Lepisosteus oculatus: one gene and its partner. The protein of the gene in region 1 purifies or fractionates together with the protein of each later gene. This does not show direct contact. Links are inferred from orthologs where the notes say so. Each region holds a gene or a part of one and is shown on either strand. Other genes may lie near its edges.

What was found.
Region 2: the proteins of zc3h4 (region 1) and wdr82 purify together in Homo sapiens (affinity purification with western blotting; 4 studies listed by BioGRID and IntAct, with this or other methods). This does not show direct contact. The link is inferred for Lepisosteus oculatus from reciprocal best matches to the Homo sapiens genes ZC3H4 and WDR82.

What each region holds. Positions count from the first base shown.
Region 1 is NC_090698.1:5,317,483-5,328,186, reverse strand, and holds the start of zc3h4 (zinc finger CCCH domain-containing protein 4), read left to right. Parts: upstream 1-6,541; 5' UTR 6,542-6,764; coding exon 6,765-6,850; intron 6,851-10,704. Other genes in the region: sae1 (SUMO-activating enzyme subunit 1), read right to left, coding at 1,890-2,063, 3,804-3,915, 5,759-5,850. UniProt on the Homo sapiens protein: RNA-binding protein that suppresses transcription of long non-coding RNAs (lncRNAs). LncRNAs are defined as transcripts more than 200 nucleotides that are not translated into protein.
Region 2 is NC_090699.1:65,859,142-65,869,609, reverse strand, and holds the start of wdr82 (WD repeat-containing protein 82), read right to left. Parts: upstream 4,641-10,468; 5' UTR 4,369-4,640; coding exon 4,208-4,368; intron 3,459-4,207; coding exon 3,361-3,458; intron 284-3,360; coding exon 217-283; intron 1-216. Other genes in the region: glyctk (glycerate kinase), read left to right, coding at 8,993-9,354, 9,982-10,133, 10,441-10,468. UniProt on the Homo sapiens protein: Regulatory component of the SET1/COMPASS complex implicated in the tethering of this complex to transcriptional start sites of active genes.

The DNA of each region.
Region 1 (10,704 bases):
TACTTGTTCCTTTGCAGCCTACGCCTGCTGACGCAGCCCCCCGCCTGAACAGTTATATTAGTCTTAGCATACCGTTACATGCTACTATATTCACAATACACTTACAGTGCACAGGAACGAACAGCCCCCCATTTATGCTTTGCAAACCAGTGTAACTGTAACCGAGCCGATGTGTGGTGTGTAGAGTTCACAGCAGTTGAAAGAAATGGTGGTGGGTGTGGAGGGGAGTCCCCATTACCCGCAAAGCGCTTTGAGTGGGGTAATTTATTATTATTGCTCAGGGGTTAAAATGTCCTGGTACTTAAAAGCAGCTCTTTTTTAAATTCAAAGAGCTTAGTTCTCCTGACTGATTAACCTTCAGGGAACTGGCTGCTGTGTGGAAAGAAGGGGCAAAAGCATCACCTAGTGGGTTTTTTGGGAACTGCAAGAAATTGCTATTTGGCTTTCAAGAAAAGGGAAACATTCAGAATGGTTGCACTTAAACTAAAAGATTTTCTGTTTCGTAATTTATTGATTTAACAGTGAAATATTTTACATTTTGCACATAAAGCAAATAACACTGTTATTATATACGGGTATATATAAACAACTTCCAAAGCAGAAACAAAGGGCTCCCGGAAACAACTTCACTTCTTTCACCAGTGAAGCTGCTGCTTTCTGCCTCTCTTCTTCAAACCATCTCTCATTGCGCAGTGAAAAGCATGAAGTAGTACAAAGTTTATTTGGCCAATCTGTGCCGTTTTCTCCACTATACGTGTCTGTCAACAGTCTGTAACCATCAACAGGTATTCTGCTCCATAACATCTGCCTTATTATTATTTTTAAATCATTTTAAAAGTCATATACAATTTCTTGCATTAGGAATTTGTCTTTTCACAGATCCCAGCTTGCTCTCCACGAGACACACAGACAGTGAGGGAAGCTGGGGGTCAGAGCAAAGGGTCAGCCATTGTAAGCGCCCCTGGAGCAGTTAGCGTTAAGGGCCTTGCTCAGGGACCCAGCGGAGTAGGATTTGAACTGGCAACCTTCCAGACACAGGTGGGGTTCCTTAGCCACAGAGCCACTGCTCTGCGGTGAATAATACTTTCAGCAGCCATTTCACAACTAGCAGCCCACTGAAGCTCAGCAGGTGTGAATCTGGTCAGTACCTGGATGGGAGAGCTCCTGGGAAAAACTAAGGTTGCTGCTGGAAGAGGTGTTAGTGGGGCCAGCAGGGGGCGCTCACCCTGCGGTCCATGTGGGCCCTGATGCCCCAGTATAGTGACAGGGACACTGTACTGTAAACAGGCGCCGTCCTTCGGATGAGACGTAAAACAGAGGTCCTGACTCTCTGTGGTCATTAAAAATCCCAGGGCGTTTCTCGAAAAGAGTAGGGGTGTAACCCTGGTGTCCTGGCCAAATTTCCCATTGGCCCTTACCAATCATGGCCTCCTAATAATCCCCCTCTATGAATTGGCTTCATTACTCTGCTCTCCTCCCACTAATAGCTGGTGTGTGGGGAGCGTTCTGGCGCACTATGGCTGCCGTCGCATAATCCAGGTGGGGTTGCACACTGGTGGGGGTGGAGGGGATCCCCATTACCTGTAAAGCGCTTTGAGTGGAGTGTCCAGAAAAGCGCTATATAAGTGTGAGGAATTATTATTATTATGTAGATGTAGCAAAATCTCTGCTTCCCCCTATTCCTCCTGATTGCCCCACAGCCCTTACCCTGGGCACTAAAGCTAAACTAAAGACGACGTTAGACAATGCTGTTTCTTTCCACTTTCTGAACACACACCCCTACTAGAAACAAGAAAGCAGAAGGAACTTTGCGCACTGGATGGTGAAGGATGAGCAGTAGAGCACAGCAACAGGAAACCCGCCCTGTCTCCGCTCTCCAAAGCACTCACCGCATCAAACTGCAGGAAGAAATCCTCAGGCTTGGACTCGGCTCTCTCGGGGTCTGCCTTTACTTCCACCATGGGGTTCAGGTACTGAGCACGCTCCAGTGAGGTCTGGGCCCGGTTCTGACCCTCAGAACCCACTGGGATGAGAAACTGCGCTCGGCTGGACTCCTCGGTCACCTGAGACAGAAACAAGAGAGGGGCAGGGGTAAGAAAAGTAGGCAATGCAGGACCTCTTAAACCCTCTTCCTGGACAAATGAAAAGTCTTTGTTTTTTAAGCCTAATTTCTTTACACAAAGAGAGGCGAGTGCCTGGAACAAGTCTTGCTGCAGAAATACACTGTTTGGGAGCTTTCGGGAAAGGACTGGCTGAGATCCTCCAATCAATACGCCATTAACAAACAGAAAAGCGGTTCTCAAAATTTTGTAATTATTTTCGTTACATCTTCTTGCTTAGTCTAGTTTTTCTATTGCAGGACCTATGTGTTTTTCTCCGTTTACTCACATAGTCATATACCATAAGTCCACCCCCCCCTCCCCAATCACAAAAGCTGCCAAAGTTGGGTTAAACACTGTAAAAACAGCACAGGAGGTTTTTAAAGATTTACTCAAAATACAGGACTGGGCAAACACCTGGAAGATGACATTTAATGTAGATAAGTGTGGAGTGTTACAGTTGTATGCAAAAGAACATGTAGAGGCTAATTTCCAGGCTGAAAAGAGAAGAAAGGAAAAAACGTTTCGGCTGTGGAGCCTTCTTCAGGTGTGGACACAGGCTGAGTTCTCCACACCTGAAGAAGGCTCCACAGCCGAAACATTGTGTTTCCTTTCTTCTCTTTTCAGCCTGGAATAAACCTTTAACTTGTTCCTTTGCAGCCCACACATGCTGACGCAGCTCCCTACTTGAATTACTTCAGTTGTATGCAAAGTTTGTTAAATTCAGCAAATAAGTAATAATTGTGCATTACAATGTGCAGAAATACATCACGTTTAAGTTTGTACCCTGCAGAGGTTGTGTAAACTTATTTTCACTTAGATATTCCCTGAAATATGCAATTTGATCAGGGGTGCCCAAACGTTTGGATACAACTGTATATGCAGGTAGCAGCCTAGAAATATAACATGCGAAACAATGAGCTTGAAGAAGCAACTTATCCTCAAGACAAGTGTCTATGCTAACATGATTAACAATGCTCTAGAGTAAGCCTTCATGCAGGCTCTGGGACACTTTTGTTCATGACGTGACGTGAAAGATAACGCAGCTTTGGATGCACTTCAAAAGAAGAGCAACCGGACACGTTCACCGCACAGCAGGGAAGGAGATATGAGAAACAAATCAAAAGCCAACCAGAGAACCAACAAGAACTGCACAAGGTGGAGCCGGAGCACGAAAAGGACACCGGCTCATTGCTGGCCACACATTCATTCATTCCCATATGCTTGGGGGGCGGGGGGGGGGGCAATTTAAAGATAGCTGTCTCTCTACGAGAACAGCAGGTCTTTGGGCTGTGGCTGGGAGAGTACCTGAGCACCTGGAGAAAAAACCCACAAGCTCTAGGTGAGGTATTTGGCTTTTCAGGGTCTACAAAGCACCCCAGTGTAGAATCAAACCCAGGACCCAAAAGCTCAGAGCAACACAAACCCTCTGTCCCACCACCAAATCCAAAACATGTCCTTTCATTCTTTTTATGAGAATCATGTAGTTATCTAAGTGCATAGAGACCCGGGTTTGAAGCCAGACTGGAGCTCCTTGTGTGTGGACTTTGCTTTAGTGTTCTTCCTCGCTCTGAAAATCCTATGAGGTCAAATGTCCATTGCTCTCCTTTGGCGAAGAAAACTGCACACGTACTGGTTGGCACTGCAAAAAAAGACACTACTACAGCCGAGAATCAAGTCTCACCCCCGGCACTAATGGCTTACCTGCTCGTGGTCCAGCATCGTCAGCCCCTTCACTCCTGCCAGGATCAGATTCTTGGCCACCTCTGCCCCCAGCCCCCTCATCCCCACCAGCAGCACGCGGGAGGCACGCAGCCTGGGAGAGGACAGGGCACAAGACAGAGCGAAACATTCAGCTCCTGAGCGCAGCGGACCTGGACTTCCCCACTCTCACTTCAATCCAGTTAAATGCTCAGTTCCTTCTTCAAAACACAATTTCCTTTTTAATGAATTTCATCCACCGGTGGCGTCAGAGCGGATGCACATACTAGTCTAAAGGAAATTTCAAATATTCCTCCGTTCGAACACATGGCAATGTGCAAGACATCACTTTACTTTAGAGACCCCTGCTGAAGACATAATCTTCACAAGATGAGGTTTCCTGCATTGATATTACTTTTCAACCTGTACACTGTTTTCAGCTGCAGTCACAGATGGGGAACAAGCGCCTACTAACAGACTTCTCTCACACACCCGGGAGGCTGATACTCTTGTTTCTCTGAACGCGAGTGATGACTGCGCAATATTTTTTGGGTGTGGGAAGCGACTCTTTGAAATTTAATCTAGAGTCCTGCATGACGACTAAAACAACACAAGGCAAATAAGACCACAGATGAATTATTAGAACTCATTTGTTACACATGGCAAATGTTCCATCCCCTTTACAGAGCTTTCCTCCTCGTCCACTGTTCATACTGAAAGGAAAGGACTGAAGTAAGAGGTAGGGAAGGCAGCTACGCAACCAAGGCGATTTCAAAGTCCCTGTCTGCTCTTTTCTGTTTAAAGGGGAGAATTAATAATTGGATAACCCCCCTAAACTAGCAGTTGCCTCACTGTTTGAAGCGGTCATCGATTTTACCCACCCCGTACCAAAAAAACACTTGTCCCACTGTGGGGCACAGCAGGCTGGGAGCTATCTGAAAGCACGGCTCACAGGGTAGGCATGGAGCACAGGGTTGAGCTTCTCTCTGGATGGGATACCAGTTGGATGGGATGGGATGGGATGGGATCCGGAAGGGATACCATTTCACATTACAGGGTGAAAGAGACAATTTAGACCATCCTAGACAGCATATTTACCAGAAGAGGGGGGGAAACTATGAAATTCCTCAAAGGGGAATGCAGGAAGATCATGCAAACTCCACATACACAGATGCAGCAGGACAGATTCGATCCCAGAACCCTTTTGAAAAGTATTAAACGCCAGGGTCTTTCAGGGAAAAGGAATATACAAACATGGCTGATCAAAAAAAAAAAGAAACCGTAGACGCAGGAGATGATGATAGAGTTGCGAGATAACAGCAACCAGTGCAAAACGCACAACTCTACTTGAACACACAGGCGCAGATCACATTGGTTCATGGGAAAATGCGCACTTAAGGAGAACCAGTCCACTTCATTGAAAAGACTACGGACTAGTAGCCCCGGTTTATCAATCTGACAATCTGCAAAATATGTTTTATTTAGAATGTTAGCGTCTATTTTACCAAGTGCACTCAACACGCTAATCTAGACAAATACACGAAAGTTTACCCGGTTTGTGATGAGTGACCTGCACCTGCTTATTATCGCCAAGAGAGGCGAGAATATACTGTACATTCCCCTGGCGATGAGATTTCACCGCTGCCTCGGTTTTCACGTCGCGTCGCTGTACACAGCACACTATCCCCAACAGCCCGAACACCTTCAGTTTGTCTGCTGGCTCTACCCCATGAACAACCAACCCCTCACTTTACAACAACCGAATCTTCATCTTTTCGGAACAACACTGCACAGGGTATATTAATAATGTACATTATAGTGCACAATGAAAGACATGGTCGCTGGCCACCATACTTGTAAACAGCAAGACGTGAGAAAAGATAAGAAAGAAAAACTTGTTATCGAAAAATCCGGTTCGATCCTCAAAACATAGGGGGCTACGGAACCAGCTATATTACCTTTTCTGAGCATCCAGACCCCACAACCGAATCTGACGGTCATACTGAGCCGCCTCCTCCTCGCTTATTAGTGTTTCCTCCTTTTCAACCATTTTTGAATTCGTGACACTTCAAACCAGAGTAATCGATACTTTATAGAAAATTACTTCTAGCGAGTATTTTATATTTACTATTATCCACCAACAACAAATTTCAATAAACCGCGGTCACCAATGTCCCGCTACGCACGGTTTGGAGAGGCGCTTACGGATTGCGTCATCAGAGACGCGACACTGTCGCGACAACAAGACGTCACATCTTTGTGGGTCCGCCACGAATACAGAAACAAAGAAAATTCGAAAGAATTTTCCGAAAATGTTGCAAGCTCATTTTTTTTTACGTATTTTAGATTCATATTCGGGGCTTTCCCTGCCGAATACACATTTATTTCAAAGAAGGATACCATAGAAAACAGTTATTATAATGGAAAAGACATTCATACTTATATGGGATTTTCCATGGATTTTTTTTTCTGTTACATATTATTATAAAGACAATACAGTCCAATTCCAGACTGTAAATTTGGGGATGAATAAAACATTTTGTGATTTGCGGCCATTTCCGTAACTTTCCGAAAATCCTCAACCTCCCATAAACACGCCCACTTCACCCTCACGAAGTATCTTCGCGCGTCTCCGGGAAGCTTCGAGAGCATTGTGTCGTCATCATCGGCAAAACTCGGCCGGGCTCCTCCCTCTTCATCACCGCCCCCTTCCCTGACTAACTGAGTCGCCGCCATTTTAAGTGGATGAGTTTCATTTTACAGAGCGCAACTATAGGAGGAAGGACAACCTCAGGAAAAAAGTCAACCTCTCTCTTTATAACTGTAAATGGGGAATTGACTATGCTGAACTGAAACTTTTCCAAAAAATCAGTAACCAAATAGCTCCAAGTCAGTGACGCATAATCCAGTAGATTATAGTTGTCGATTTGTAATTTTTTTTTGCACTTTAAATGTTAAGAGGAAATGGCTGTGGAAAGCATGACTGTCCATCCAAACTCCCCAACAACCTCCAACCACGAACACATCAACAGCCTTCTCACTGACGAAAGGTCGAGTAATTCTACAATCATATTTCTATACAACAGTTTATTCATCCTGGGCTTTTTTAGGGCATAAAAAAGCTCGGGTATCTTTTTCTTTGTTTTTTTCTTTTCAAAGGAATTAAAGTCGCCTTTTTTTCTGGGGAACAAGTAACAGAGGTAACGCCATCTTGAAACATTGCAGAAAGCAAACGAAAGGAAGGTCAAACATTAAAAGATGTGGGATACGAAGCTACAGTATTTTAAAGCTCTTTCTGAAAATTACTTTTATTTCGAAATCTAGTTTTTGAAATCAAATAGCAGAGGACAAATCGTCCTGCTGGACATTTTAAGTAATTACATTAACTTTAAAAAAGCCGTCAAAGAAAAAAGCGAACCAAATAATATGATGAAACAAGGACAAATATTTTGTAAAATCTTAAATTCAGTAATAACTTTTTATACTCCTTTATTCTATGTGGGAATGGATTAGCACTTATTTTTCCCAGGGTTGCCGAAGCGCAATCGGAAAACTAGTTAATTGTTAATGAATGTAAAATGTTGAATTCTGTTTTAAATTATATATACATTTTTCTATATTTTATGAACGTATCAGTGTCGTGTTAAATTGTTTTAATTGGTCTTTTCCGTAAAAGGAATTTTAAATTGATACCAATTAGTTTCAGCTGGTGACGCACGCCAAAGTACCCAGCTACGCATTTAACAAATACAGTCTTTCGACGCTTTTCAGCTTTTCTATTTACGTTTAAATGTTTTTCAAACCAAATTTATTTTTCAAAATATTTGTCCTGTTTAACCGAAGCTTTGATTCCGAAAAAATGTTGTTTTTATCCTTTAAAATATTATGTTGCTCTATTTGAATTAAGCGGAAATAGATTTTAATCACCCTTAACGTTTTAGGCTTGTACGGTTACAGAGTATCCCATTTCGTTAGGTAATGTAGTCGTTAAATTAATTACATAAGATAATTGTTTATATTTATTTTAAGATACCCCGTACTTGAATGCATGTTATGTATGTGTTGTTTCTAAAGCATGATATAGTGTTTTTTTTTAGGTTTATTGACCACACGTTTAAGCAAGACGTTATGTAAAATCCCTTTTCTCCAAAAAAGTTAACACTTTACTGTTACGACCTTCTCCCTTCCCCCAGGTTATACACATTCGATAGATTAACTTTATTCCCTGTTAGTGTGATACCAGTACATTTTGAAAATGCTTATGATGTGATTTTTTTTTATTTTTAGCTGTTTTTACCTTCTGAAAAACGACGTTTCAAATCAAAAAAATGTTTTCAACTCATTTATTTTACAGCATCCCTTATTACAGACCAAATACAGTGGTCAAAGTTTCAAAAGCATAACCAAAAGAAAGTCTAAAGAAAAAAAAAACACAAGTTCCCCATTTTAACCCCTTCCTTGCCATAGTAATTCTGGGTACAGCTGCTTTCCCCTAGATTTCAATATTGAGTTTTTTTACTCCCTTGTCCATGACTCCCATAGACAATAATAAAAATGGATTACTAATGCACCAACACAAAGGATATAGAAAGCAGTACCAGTGATTTGGAATTGTGAAGATAGCCATGGTAACAGTAAGTATTTCCCTGTCTACAAAGAAAGAGAGGCCTACTATTTTAAAAGACGACAACGCTGTACGTAAATCCGTAACGTTCGGAGTGTATTTTTCCTGTTGGGTGTCTTTTGGGAGGGATTGCATGTGGACTGATGTGATGTAGTGAGTTCTTGAAACCTTATTTTACAGTTCTTGTCAGAGCCAAAGCATTTTCTCTTTGCTTTTTAGGATAGTGTTTACGACATTCATACGGCGGTGCATTAATCGGAATATTTTGTAGTGTTTGTAATATTTATGCAGCATTTAATTTGTAAAGTGACGTGTTTGAATCTTGTAGATTCTCTGCGGTCTGTAGGAAAACACCAGGTGGTCAATCGCTTTTTAGTCAAATTTTTACACAAAGGTTTTGTACCAGAAGAGACCAGACTTTCAGCAGGGTGGACACCACAGTTCAAATGTGTTCTTGGATTCTGATCGTCTTTGATCCGAATCCTACTTGCATTCACATTCCTGTCTTTACCAGTTGACAGCATCTATTTGCTGTCCCTTTGAAAGACATTTTTCCAACAACTGGAGTTTTTTGGTTACCTGTACTTCTGCCTTTGCGTATTTTGTAGAGAGTGCTGTTTAAATCTTGATGGTTTTCCCTCCACTTGGGGTTCCCCAACTCCCAGCCCTTGTAGATTCTGGGGTCCAGAATGCAGCACGTTTTCTGTGGCTCTTGAAATCGCCAAATGTGAGCGTAGTGTAGAAGAGATGAACATCGGTTCAGTTAAACCATGATTGGATTACTCTTAACATTTCTCCCAGGTGAAGAACTTTCTAATTTAAGGAGACGGAAATCCTGCTGGATTATGGGTCCCGAGTACTGGAGTTGGAAAGTGCTTTATACCACAATTCTTTAGTTCTAAATCAAACAACAAAATTGGGACGTTAGCTTTCGACTTCAGGAGGAGGCCTCTTACTTCAGAAGAATAATTTCTTGCAGGTGACATTGCAGATGAAAGGCTTCAAGGCCTTTTTAGGCTCTGAACACCCTGGACTGTGTAGTTTACTTCAGCCAGCACCTGTTAAGTGTCCAAAGCACTTGCTTTTCCATGTCTGCCTGAGTAAATGTGCTGAGAACGTCTGGTATAAAATCTTTATTTAAAAATACACACAAGTTCTATACCTCGTAGCCTAGTTATAGCCTAAACTACAAATACGGAAATTTTCATTCACATTCTGAATCAAAACAAAAGATTACAAACAGCACAAGAAATGTTGTAGTCCCTGAAACATGGTTATAGATAAGGGCGTATCTGTATACATTTTCAGGCATAATTCTTAGTATCTGGATTAGTGTTATCACGTTATTCAGCAAAAAATGCAACCATTTGTTTAACCTAGGTGTACTGAATTTTAGATTATTTTAGCCACTGGTAACTGGTAGTTAATTGCTAGGTTTCTGATACAATGTTTCAATGCTTTTACCCACAACTGTGTTGTTTTTCATTAAGCTTGAAAAATGAAGAATGCTGCTTTTGTCCTTTAACTTAGTTAACTCCGTAGACCGACCTGATTACTGCTTGCTAGCCTGAATAACTCTGAGCTGTGCTGACAAGAGGTGTTATTGTCAAACATTCTTTTCATATAGAATTAGTTATCAATGAGTGATTAGGTAGTTTCATAGTATTAGGACTAATGCCTCCTGTAAATGTAAATGTGCACATACACATTTACAATCTGGCTTGGCTATATACAGCATGTAACATTCACTGCTGTGCACAAGTCAGAGTTGGTATAGAAAGACAGTCCTTGTTTTGCATATGTGCTGGTCATAAAGCAAGAGAAGTACAACTCGTCAGCATTGAACTGCGAAGATCATGCCTCGGTTTTGTTTAGCAGGGCTTACAGTGCTTTTAAAGAGAGTCTTTGGCATGGCAGAAGCAGAATTCATTGGCACTTTCCTGAGCTTGCCTGTGTGCACAGAGTGAACGCTGCGCAGAGGGGAAAGGGGGCCAGGACTTGGGGCAGTCAGTGGTCTCTTTGTTTCATCTGTCAGCATGCGTGATGAGATGTCTTGTGAACCGCCAGTGGTGCAAGAAAAATAGATTCCCTGTGTTCATTGATAAAGGTTCCTGCGTCTCAGCACAGCCAAAGCTTGTGCCAGAGCTCTAGAAACTAATTGTGGAGCTGTCGGTATTCTCTCCCTGTTATTTGCTGATTGCTTTGTTAGAAGGATCCACTGGTTTAAATCTGGTTGCTAAGCTTAGTGTTCCCTGGCACAGCCAGTGAAGGACCTGGGGC
Region 2 (10,468 bases), on another chromosome or scaffold:
ATTATACATATTGGTACCGACCGAATAATCAGTAAGTAATTTCTCCACATCAAAGTAAACATGCCCGCAATCAACACACCTAACAATAAAACAGAGCAAAGACAGCAGAACTAGGCCAGATTTTTGCTGGAGGAAAACCTGTGTTAATTTGGAACAACCAGTTTTGTTACATCAAACCACTCCCAGCTAGAATTAGCGAAGAAGTCCAAGTCTCACCTCTTATTGTGTCCAGGGAAATAGCGAATGTATTTGTTGTCATGGAGCGACAGATACCGAATGGTGTCTAAGGGAAACGGAGAGAGTTATTAAAACATAAAAACTCACTTGAAAATGGCAAAAAAACAAAGCCTTAATGCAATTATGACACGAGCACAACAAATACATACTTTCATGGGATCTTCGTATGGGAAGGGTACTCTTTATTAATGTCAATCAGGGAAAATCTGTATCCCCTTGCTCTGCCTCTGATCAGGCCAGAAGAAGGTGGCTAATTCAGTGTCAGAGCAGTGCAGCCTGTCTTGTACCTGTGGTGTTTTATAAAGATACTGTGTCCCGTGCAAAACTCTTTAACATACTAGACACAATCCAGAGTTACAATCTACGCGTATTATTTTATTAAAGATCAACATCAGCATTTTCTACTATAATACAGCCCTTACCCATGCAGTCCTGTTGGGTCGAGAAGAAACCCAGACTGTCATTTATGAATCTTTAATTCACACTCATCAAAATCTTCAAAAAAAACTCAACACCTCAAAGCCAACTACACACAGTGCTGAGGTAGCTAATCTATCACATCTACCACTCGGATCTGACTGCCTCATTTTAAGGTCTGGGGAGGAACACATGTTGACGTCTATCAAAGAAAAAGATTGAATCAGTATTACAATACAATACTGATCTATCAACATCCCTGTCATCTTAAAATAACTTGGATAAAATGTCAGGGAAAGTCTTACCACTTAATTTTCCTGCACAGAGAATGAGCATCGAGAGAAAAGGCTACTACACTACAACATGTCTCAGACTTTTGCACGATGCAATAAAAGCCATTTCCCCCCCCCACTCTCCCAGCAAGCCTCAGCACATTAAAGGCCCCCATAACAAAACGTTATTAAACACTAAAGACGCTGCAGTTTCACGGCAGAGTAGGACCTTCCTTTCGGAGTCTGTAACACACGGAGTCTGGCTTTGCTCCCTTCCAGAAAAACCACGGCCACTCCGGCAGGGAGTCGCGGGCTCCGCGGATACGAGACGCAGCGGCCTGTTGTGGCGCTGCTCCCGCGGCCGGAGACAGCGGCGCCGGCCGGCGGTCAGGAGTCCATACGATGTTCAGGCGCTGCAGGCTGCCGGAGACGAAGGCGCTGCCCCGGGCAAGGCAGTGGCCTGTACAGTTAGCTCCATTACCGGGTGGTATCACAGACCCTCAAACTGTACAAACAACTACCTCAGCCCGGGGCAGGCTGGGGTCAGCAGCACTCCTTCGAAGGAACCCCCGGGCTTCCTCCAGACCTGGACACAAGCCGTCCTCCCTGTAGTCTCTTCTTCTGGGGGGGTTGATGGAACTGAAGTAACCTTCAACTCCTGCGGCGAGTACTCCAGCGTGTGGATATACTGGACAAGCATTAAAACCCCATAATGCTGCAATAGTTTGGACACAAAATAGCACTGGCCTCCAGTAGAAAAGCTTTCAGAAAAGCTTGCTATGCTATGTCAAGGATGTCAGAGCTCTTGAAGGCTTTTCTCCTTCCAAGGCTTTAAGGCTTCACCTTGTAGTACAGAGCTCGCTTTGTTCCACTTATAAAACATAACAGATTGAACTTTTATTGCTGACAAGAAAAGGTATTAAACAGAGGCAGCAGCAGACTTCTGTAAGCCAGAGGAAACGGCAGGAAGGTGGATGAGCGAAGCCCATTATTTTTCTGACAGATGCTGTAGCCTCACTGTACAGGTATCTGGGGGGGGGGGGGGGGGGGCAGGCACTGGTTGGAACCCCAGATTTAAAAAACAGACCCCCAGAACAATAGTGCTTTTCGAACACCCAAGGATAACTTGAGACCCAGCAATTACTAGAAGGCCTACAGTATAAGTTCCACAGAAATGCAGTGGAGAATACTCACAGAACTGCACGTTCATCACTACAGTACATAATTAACCTCAGTTAAAATATCCCAGCCCAGAGGCTTCACTTGCATCGTTTACCTTCTCTAGCACTTTAACTCTATGACAGTTAGGATCTGGGGGAAAGGGTGCAGCCTAAGAAGATACACACAAGCTGACAACAGTTATTTTACATAAAATGTACTTTGTTGTCGCTCCACCGAACCACACAAAGTTATACTCCCTTGTCTTGCAACAGTGTTGCATTAAAAACGTAACCCTGAAGTGATACCCTTGAGCAATTTCACTGATAAACACAATGCTCCTTTCTTAACTTGGTTTGGAAGCTGTACACACAAACCTCCAAAATAAGAAAACAGAACTACCCTGAAACTGCCGGGTGTAGGCTGAGATCCCCGTCTGCAGGAACAAGCTAGGCTGCATTCTCCTCACGCGTAAACTGACAGCACAGTCGGATCATTTTTTTTCTCCTTTCAAAATCATTAAATATCCCCCTCTCCTCAGTGTTGTACAAGCTCCTTTTTCTGTTTGTGGTCAGTTTTGAATAACATGTACTCTGCAAAACATAAACAACGTTTCCCGGGATGTAATCTAAACCGACTTCCATCTTTCCACTGGAATCTTCTCACTGGACGAGCGATGACTGAACTAACTGCTGGACTCCCCCATGTTTGACAGCTAAGGAGTTTGGATGCGGGAGTTTCTACCCTAGTCCAGAATATCCCCAATTCAAGTCTCAATGGTCACCGTAAATTAGGGGACCCCCAACCCTGCAGACTTTCATTCCAGATGAGCCATCAGTTACATAACTAAACCCTTAAATATGATTAATTCGATCTCTTTTTTTCCAGTTCCTACTGCCCTTTATAAGAATCTGCAACTTTTCATCCCAAAATAAAAACTTGCAAAGGCTGCACACTGGTGGGGGTGGAGGGGATCCCCACTGCCTGTAAACCACTTTGAGTGCAGTGTCCAGAAAAGCACGATATAAGTATAAGCAGTTAGTAAACACACCCCATAACAGACTTAATTTTGAGCTTCGCTTCAAGTTCCAAAACACAAAGTTGCCTTTTAACTCTTGGGTTTTGCAAGAAAAACACAGCATCCCCAATCTTCAAGATTGGGGGGGGGGGTCCCCAGGCTCAGGGATAGGGGTGTCAGCCCGTTTTACTGAATTAGATAACTTAAGACAGAGGGTGTCAATACTTAAGCATGCAAGCTGTTCAAGGAGAAACGTACCGTCGATTTTGTTGGAGCTGTAGACCACGGTGTTCGCTGCGTGCGTGTATCTGATGAGGTCCACACCATACTTCTTACTGTACAGGGTCCTCTTGGGCCTGGAACACAGCCGGAGCGACAGCGAGCGCAATGAGATCGACCATCCCTGTTACCCACGCACGGACACGGACACGCTGCCACCGCAGGGCAGCCTGACCCACCCCACTGTGTCTGAGCCACCGCGACAGCGAAGGAGGGAAGTCTGCGCACTCGATACCGCCCTACACCCAAGTCGGCGTTAGCTACGAGGCTTTTAACGATGACCAGTGGGTGGACTTCAACTGGCGTTACCAGCCCACGCACACGCGAGAAGCAGGACAGAAAAGAAAAGGGGGTGCTTCTCATCCGACACTGCAGCCTGACACCACCACACGCGTGACTGCTGCCGCAGCAGCCGGGACACGGGGAGGCCGCGCTGCGCGACACACACACACACAAAAACCGGCGTCAGGGCTCTGCAGCCTTCGCGCACGTAGAGCTGCCAGGAGGGGACCCATTCCGTGAAACACCCCCCTTCGCATTTGCCCCTACGGAGCTCACAGAGCACGCTACATCAACCTGCGCGTAAAGCGTGCGTATCACTGCGCTGGGGGGAACGTACGCTCATGCAGACTGACATTCAAAGGCTCACACGCTCAATAAAAGAGACCCCCCCCTCAACTGTACACACTCCGCCACCCGCGGTACAGTCCCCCCCGTCCCGCCGGGCAGGGCGCTTCACTCGAGCCCGGGGATGAGGCGCCCGCAGTAGGCCTCACCTCGAGGAGCCCCCCCCACGCCCCGCCGGAGACAACAGAAGGGAACTCACTTTCCCTCCTGGCAGTCGTACAGCACGATGGAGTCGTCGTCGCTGCTGGAGATGACCGTCTCGCCGTTGGAGCTGAAGTCGAAGCAGTTGATCTTGTCCGAGTTCTCCCGGAACACCTTGGCGACGCGAAAGCTCCGCAGCACGTTATCCGTCAGCTTCATGACCTCCCGCGCTGGCGGCGGCCTCTCCGGCCTCTGCTTCTCGGGAACCGGCGCGGCGTCAAATCCCCCCCCCCTTCCTCTCCGAAACAGAAACTGCGGCTTTTTCGTCGGGTTTTCGCCCGCCCTCGCCCCCCGGGAAAACAACCCTGATTTTTTTTTTTCCCTCCTTTTCAAACGCAGAAGGAAAAAACCGCCGGGGACACGCTCGAGCACCAGGAGCGCGAGGAAGCCCCGCCTTCTGCCGCCGCCGCCAGGAGCGCGCACGCATGCACGCGCGCGCCCCCCCACCCGGGGGGAGCGCAAGCGGGCACGAGCCCCATTGTGTGCTCGGCGTTCGGCTGCCCCCCCCTCGCGACGTGAGGCTCAATCGGAAGCCCGAGGCCGAGCGCTGCTCGCCGGCCTGTGAGCGCAGAGGCGCTTTAAAAGGCAGAGCCCGCGTCTAAACCGAGGTTGTGTGCTGCAGCCTCCGGCCGGGTGAGCGCTGGGAAAGGGAGGCGTTCGCTGCCTTTCCAAGCGCAGTGAATTGCGAGATTCGCGTGTGTGTGTGTGTGTGGCCCTGTCCGGCCGCCGTAGCGCCCCCTTTCCCTGCCGGACTACAGGTACCACAATGCAACCGGGCGGACATTTCACGGGGGGCTGGATATGAGGAGTCGAGGGGATCGAGCGTGAATGAAATGGCATTGCTGCGCTGGTACGTGCACCTGCGTGCCGGACGCCTTTGTTCGGGGGACCGCGACAGTGCCGTTTAGTGCGAGGGGCAGGGATATCGGGGCCTGGCTGAGTTGCTTGGCAGGACAAGTGCCTCAATAGTTTAATGGCGATATTAAGAAAAACAAAAAAAACTCGGGAGGAAGAGAGCCCCACGCAGCAGGCGTGCGTGATAGGGCAGGAGGTTGAGAGGAGGAAAAAGAGTGTACCGGAGCAACTGAAAAACTATTAGAATCGCCAAGCCGGGGACAGAAAGAAATATTGCAATGGGGGCGAAACAGTATTGTGAACCACTTTTTCCACTTCTAGGACAGTAAAGGCTTGAGCGAGTGGCTTATGAGATAATAGGGGGTTTGTCACATGGTTCACACAGACTGTAGCTGAAGATGTCACATTATCGATCTCCCGCAGGACTGGCTCGCTTTAGCATGATTGATCCCGAGGCGTAGAGGAGCCGGGGCAGTAAAGAACAGTTCCCCGGGGTCCGATCCACGAAACGGACCGAGGGACAGCCCAGGCAGTCTGGCGCCTGACGCTGGGAGAGATACGGAGTTTATAGATGGAGACAGATTGGAGTATGACTGAGAGAACGAGGACACTTCAGGAGTCGAGCGTGGGATAAGAAAAATAAGGTCTCGTCTAACTTGCTGGAATTCTTCAAACAATAATAATAATAATAATTGCTTACACTTATATAGCGCTTTTCTGGACACTCCCCTCAAAGCGCTTTACAGGTAATGGGGACTCCCCTCCACCACCTTCAAGGAACAAGCTTCAAGGAGATTAGGTAAAACTAAACTTTAGTGACTAGAGCGTTTATATTTAATATTCGTGTTATGATATTCCTAACATGCACGTCTGCAGGAAGACTTAGACAGACTCCTGAATGGGGGCTGACCCTGTGGGGCAGTCGTCACAGCTCACCTGTGTGAGGACACCAGCAGGCAGCTGCAGTGTGGCTCAGCAGGGGTCCGGCAGACATCTAAAATTTGGATGACTCAAAACTTCCTTCATCTTAACTGTGACAAGACTGAAGTCATGCTTATTGGTACCCCCCATCAACTTCGTAAAGCCAGTCCTGTAACCCTGTCTGTAGATGGCTCTGTACTTGAGCTCCAATCAAAATTGAAAAACCTTGGGGTTATATTCGATTCTGGCTTAACATTCGACCCACATGTACAGCATACTGTCAAAACATCTTTTTTTCACCTTAGAAATATCGCAAGACTACGCCCTATGCTATCATTAACTGTGGCTGAAAAGCTGATCAACATATTTGTATTCTCTCGAATTGACTACTGCAATGCTCTGCTCCCTGGGGTATCCAAATCTACTCTGAACAAGCTGCAGTATGTCCAAAATTCAGCAGCCAGAATCCTGACCAGATCTAGTGCAAGTGTTCACATTACTCCTATCCTGGAGTCCTTGCACTGGCTTCCGGTCAAATTCCGCGTAGACTTTAAAATCCTCATGCTCACCTACAAGGCTTTACATGGCTTGGCACCTCAATACCTGTCTGAACTTTTATCGCCCTACTCCCCACCTCGCAACCTCCGCTCTTCAAATTCTGCCCTCCTTACTGTCCCCCAAGCCCGTCTACATTGTATGGGCGACAGGGCCTTCTCCTGCTATGCCCCCAAGCTCTGGAACTCCTTGCCCAAGGATATTAGAGAGTCACCTTCTCTAAACTCCTTCAAATCCAGACTCAAAACCCTCCTTTTCAGAAAAGCCTTTACTTAACTGCTTCCATTCTTCACCCCTCTGCTCTTCTTAATACCATCTTCCACGGTCTCCTCTATTGTTATTGTTGTATTGTTGTAATTATAATTGTGTCCTGTCTTGTGAAATTTTCTTATTTATTGTTGTAGTCTTCTTATTTATTGTTATTGTCATCCTGTAAAGCGCTTTGAGAAGCCACCTTTAAAGGCGCTATATAAAATAAAGTTTATTATTATTATTATTATCTAGTCTGCTCCTCACCTGTAGATCTTTTATGAGCCCGGGAAAACCAGGCCTTGGCTGTGGCTCACAGACTGCCTTCACCGACAGGAGAAAAGATCAGTCCCTTTCATCGCACCCCAAGTAAAATGTTTAGATTTCGGATCATTCTGGGGGGGGGGGGGGATGGGGAGAGAGTTGGGAGAGAACCGCCCCCCCCACGGCGCAGACAGACGGGGGGAGGGGCTGGGCTGTTGCTCAGTGGACTCTGAGCTGGGGGCAGATAGCGCGCTGTCCATTCCGATTAAAGAGTAATGGAGCTTCGGCTCCCAGCTATGGGGCGGCCTGGGGCGGGTTCGTGCTCCGGAGCCCGGACAGCAGGGTGGACGGGCTCACTTCCGTCCCCCGAGGGAGGTGCCGAACGCCCAGCTGTGTCACCGGGCCTGCAGCAGCAGCCACCTGCAGAAGACGGTTTGTTCTCACTGGACTGGCCCGGTCCAGCAAAGCATTACATCAGAGCTGGCCTGTCGATCATTAATCCCTCAGTCAATAAGAGCTGAGCCGCACAGAGCAGAGGGCAGATCACAGGAGACAGGCTGCTGGACTATATAGGACAGATCACAGGAGACGGGCTGCTAGACTGGACAGAGCAGATCACAGGAGACAGGCTGCTGGACAGAGCAGATCACAGGAGACGGGCTGCTGGACTGGACAGGACAGAGCAGATCACAGGAGACAGGCTGTTGGACTGGACAGAGCAGATCACAGGAGACAGGCTGCTGGACTATATAGGACAGAGAAGATCACAGGAGACAGGCTGCTGGACTATATAGGACAGAGAAGTTCACAGGAGACAGGCTGCTGGACAGAGCAGATCACAGGAGACTGGCTGCTGGACAGGACAGAGCTGGGCACTGTGGGCTGACGCTGTGCTGTGCGCTGGGGATCTCAGGTCTGTCTCCAGTTCCTTCACTTTCTCACTCGTGTGGCTGGCGTCCGTAGGGCCGCTGTGAGCGGGGATGATGGGAAGGATCTAGCTGGGAAAGACACCGTCGGGACCGGAGATCCCAGCGTGGGGGGTGGAGTGTAGGACAGGAAGGACTGTCCGAGGACACGCGTGTGCTCTGGGCTGTGTCAGTGGACAGGCCGAGTGTGTGGAGGGGCCGGGGGCTGGGGGCAGGTGACTCATTAAGCACCGTGCTTGAGCAAACCACGAGTACCTCCTGCTCCGGTGTGTAGACGTGCTTTGGGATCCTCTGGGACAGAAGGGGGGCGTAAACACAGTTAATAATAATAATAATTGCTTACACGTATATAGCGCTTTTCTGGACACTCCACTCAAAGCGCTTTACAGGTAATGGGGATCCCCTCCACCACCACCAATGTGCAGCATCCACCTGGATGATGCGACGGCAGCCATAGTGCGCCAGAACGCTCCCCACACACCAGCTACCAGTGGGGAGGAGAGCAGAGTAATGAAGTCAATTCATAGAGGGGGATTATTAGGAGGTCATGACTGGTAAAGACCAGGGGGAGATTTGTCGGGGTAACACCCCTACTCTTTTCGAGAAACGCCCTGGGGTTTTTAATGACCACAGAGAGTCAGGACCTCGGTTTTAGGTCTCATCCAAAGGACGGCGCCCGTTTACAGTGCAGTGTCCCCGTCACTATACTGGGGCATTAGGACCCACACAGACTGCAGGGTGAGCGCCCCCTACTGGCCCCACTGACACCTCTCCCAGCAGCAGCCTCAGCTTTCCCAGGAGTCTCCCATCCAGGTACTGACCAGGCCCACCCCTGCTGGGCTCCAGTGGGCGGCCAGCTGGGAGCTGCAGGGTGATATAGCTGCTGGCTATAACTGGTGAGAGTGACAGGTTAACTGTCCACTCCTGCACACGGCACGCAGGGCAGCCTCGCCCCTCACTTCCTGTTCCCCTCGCAGGGCGTGACGAGCCGGCTGCGGTCTGAGCAGCGCCCCATGGGCCCCGCCCTCGCCCTCGCCCCCGCCCTGTCGCTGTCGCTGTCCCTCGGCCCGGGCGCCCCGCGGGCCATGTCGCGGGCCATGTCGCGGGCGGCGCAGGCGCGGGAGATCTTCGGCGCGGCGGTGGGAGCCGTGCAGCCCGACGCCGTGGTGCGCCGCAGCCTGGAGCGGCAGGGAGAGCGCCTCCTGGTGGGGGGCCGGAGTTACACCCTGCGGGAGAACCTGCACCTGGTGGGCTTCGGCAAGGCCGTGCTGGGCATGGCGGCGGCCGCGGAGAGGATCGTGGGCGACCACCTGGTGCAGGGCGTGATCAGCGTACCGCTCGGGATACAGGAAGCACTGAGGCAGGATGGGAAAGGGTAAGGGTCGACGTGAGCTCTCCGGACGGCCCCTGCTTGTTTGCGTTGTTCTCCCTGCTGAGTTGATGCCGATCCTGATCCTCTCTCTTACACCTCGCCGGGAAGCTGTGCTCTTGGCGCAGTTTTGCGTCGGGCATTCTGGGTCCCGGCGGGGAAATGGGAGGTTCTACTCGTGGGGGTGTCCCGATCACCTCCGTGAGTCCCGGTGGGATCCGGTTCCGTTCTCCTGGCGTGGAGTCGGGCCTCTCGGTGCACAGTGACCCCCCCGTCCCGGAGCTGCTGGGGTGCAGCCGTGCTGGGTGGTGCTGGAGACGGCGCTGCGCCCCCAGTCGGTGGGCCCGGGGACGAGCTGCGGGGCGGCGTTGCGGAAGGGGGATCCCGCCATCCGTCAAGGGGCTGGTCACGGGGGGGTCACCCGCCTGAACTGAAGCTGGGGGGGAAGGGGGTTGGGTTGGGAAATGGGGGTGTCCTTTAAAAAGAGAAAGCGGGCGCTGGGGGAGCCCCTGATGGCAGAAGGCTCTGGGTGGGGGGTGCTGGTGTTGTAAACCCTGGGGACCCCCTTGTCACGGGGGTCTCTGATGAAACACTTGGGTTCCAGGGTCATTCCCGGCGCTTCTCTCCGCACAGGGAGATGCTGCTGGGAGCAGGGAGCCGTATCCGGGCGCTGGAGGGAGCGCGCCACAACCTCCCGGACGCGGCGGCGCAGGAGGCGGCGCGGGCGATCAGGGCGCTGGCCGGCGGGCTGACGGACCGCGACCTGCTGCTGGTGCTGATCTCCGGTACCGGCCCCCGCGGCGGGCGCAGACGGGTCGGGGGGAGGGCGCTAAGGCTTTGACCGGACCGGCCGATTGATGTCCGTTTTGTTTGGGTTTGTGTAAAGCCACGGGCCATGGGCCAGAGGTCACAGGTCACAGGTCACAGGTCACAGGTCACAGGTCACGGGTGCAGTCGGGAAGAGCTCAGGCAGAATAAGAACCAGAAGGGTCACATGACCACGGTTAACGTCATGGTGCTCACGAGAGGGCGCTCCGCCGCGCTGGCGTCCGGGCCACGTTTGCTGACTCTCTGCCCGCTGTCTGCCCGCAGGGGGCGGCTCAGCGCTCCTGCCCTCCCC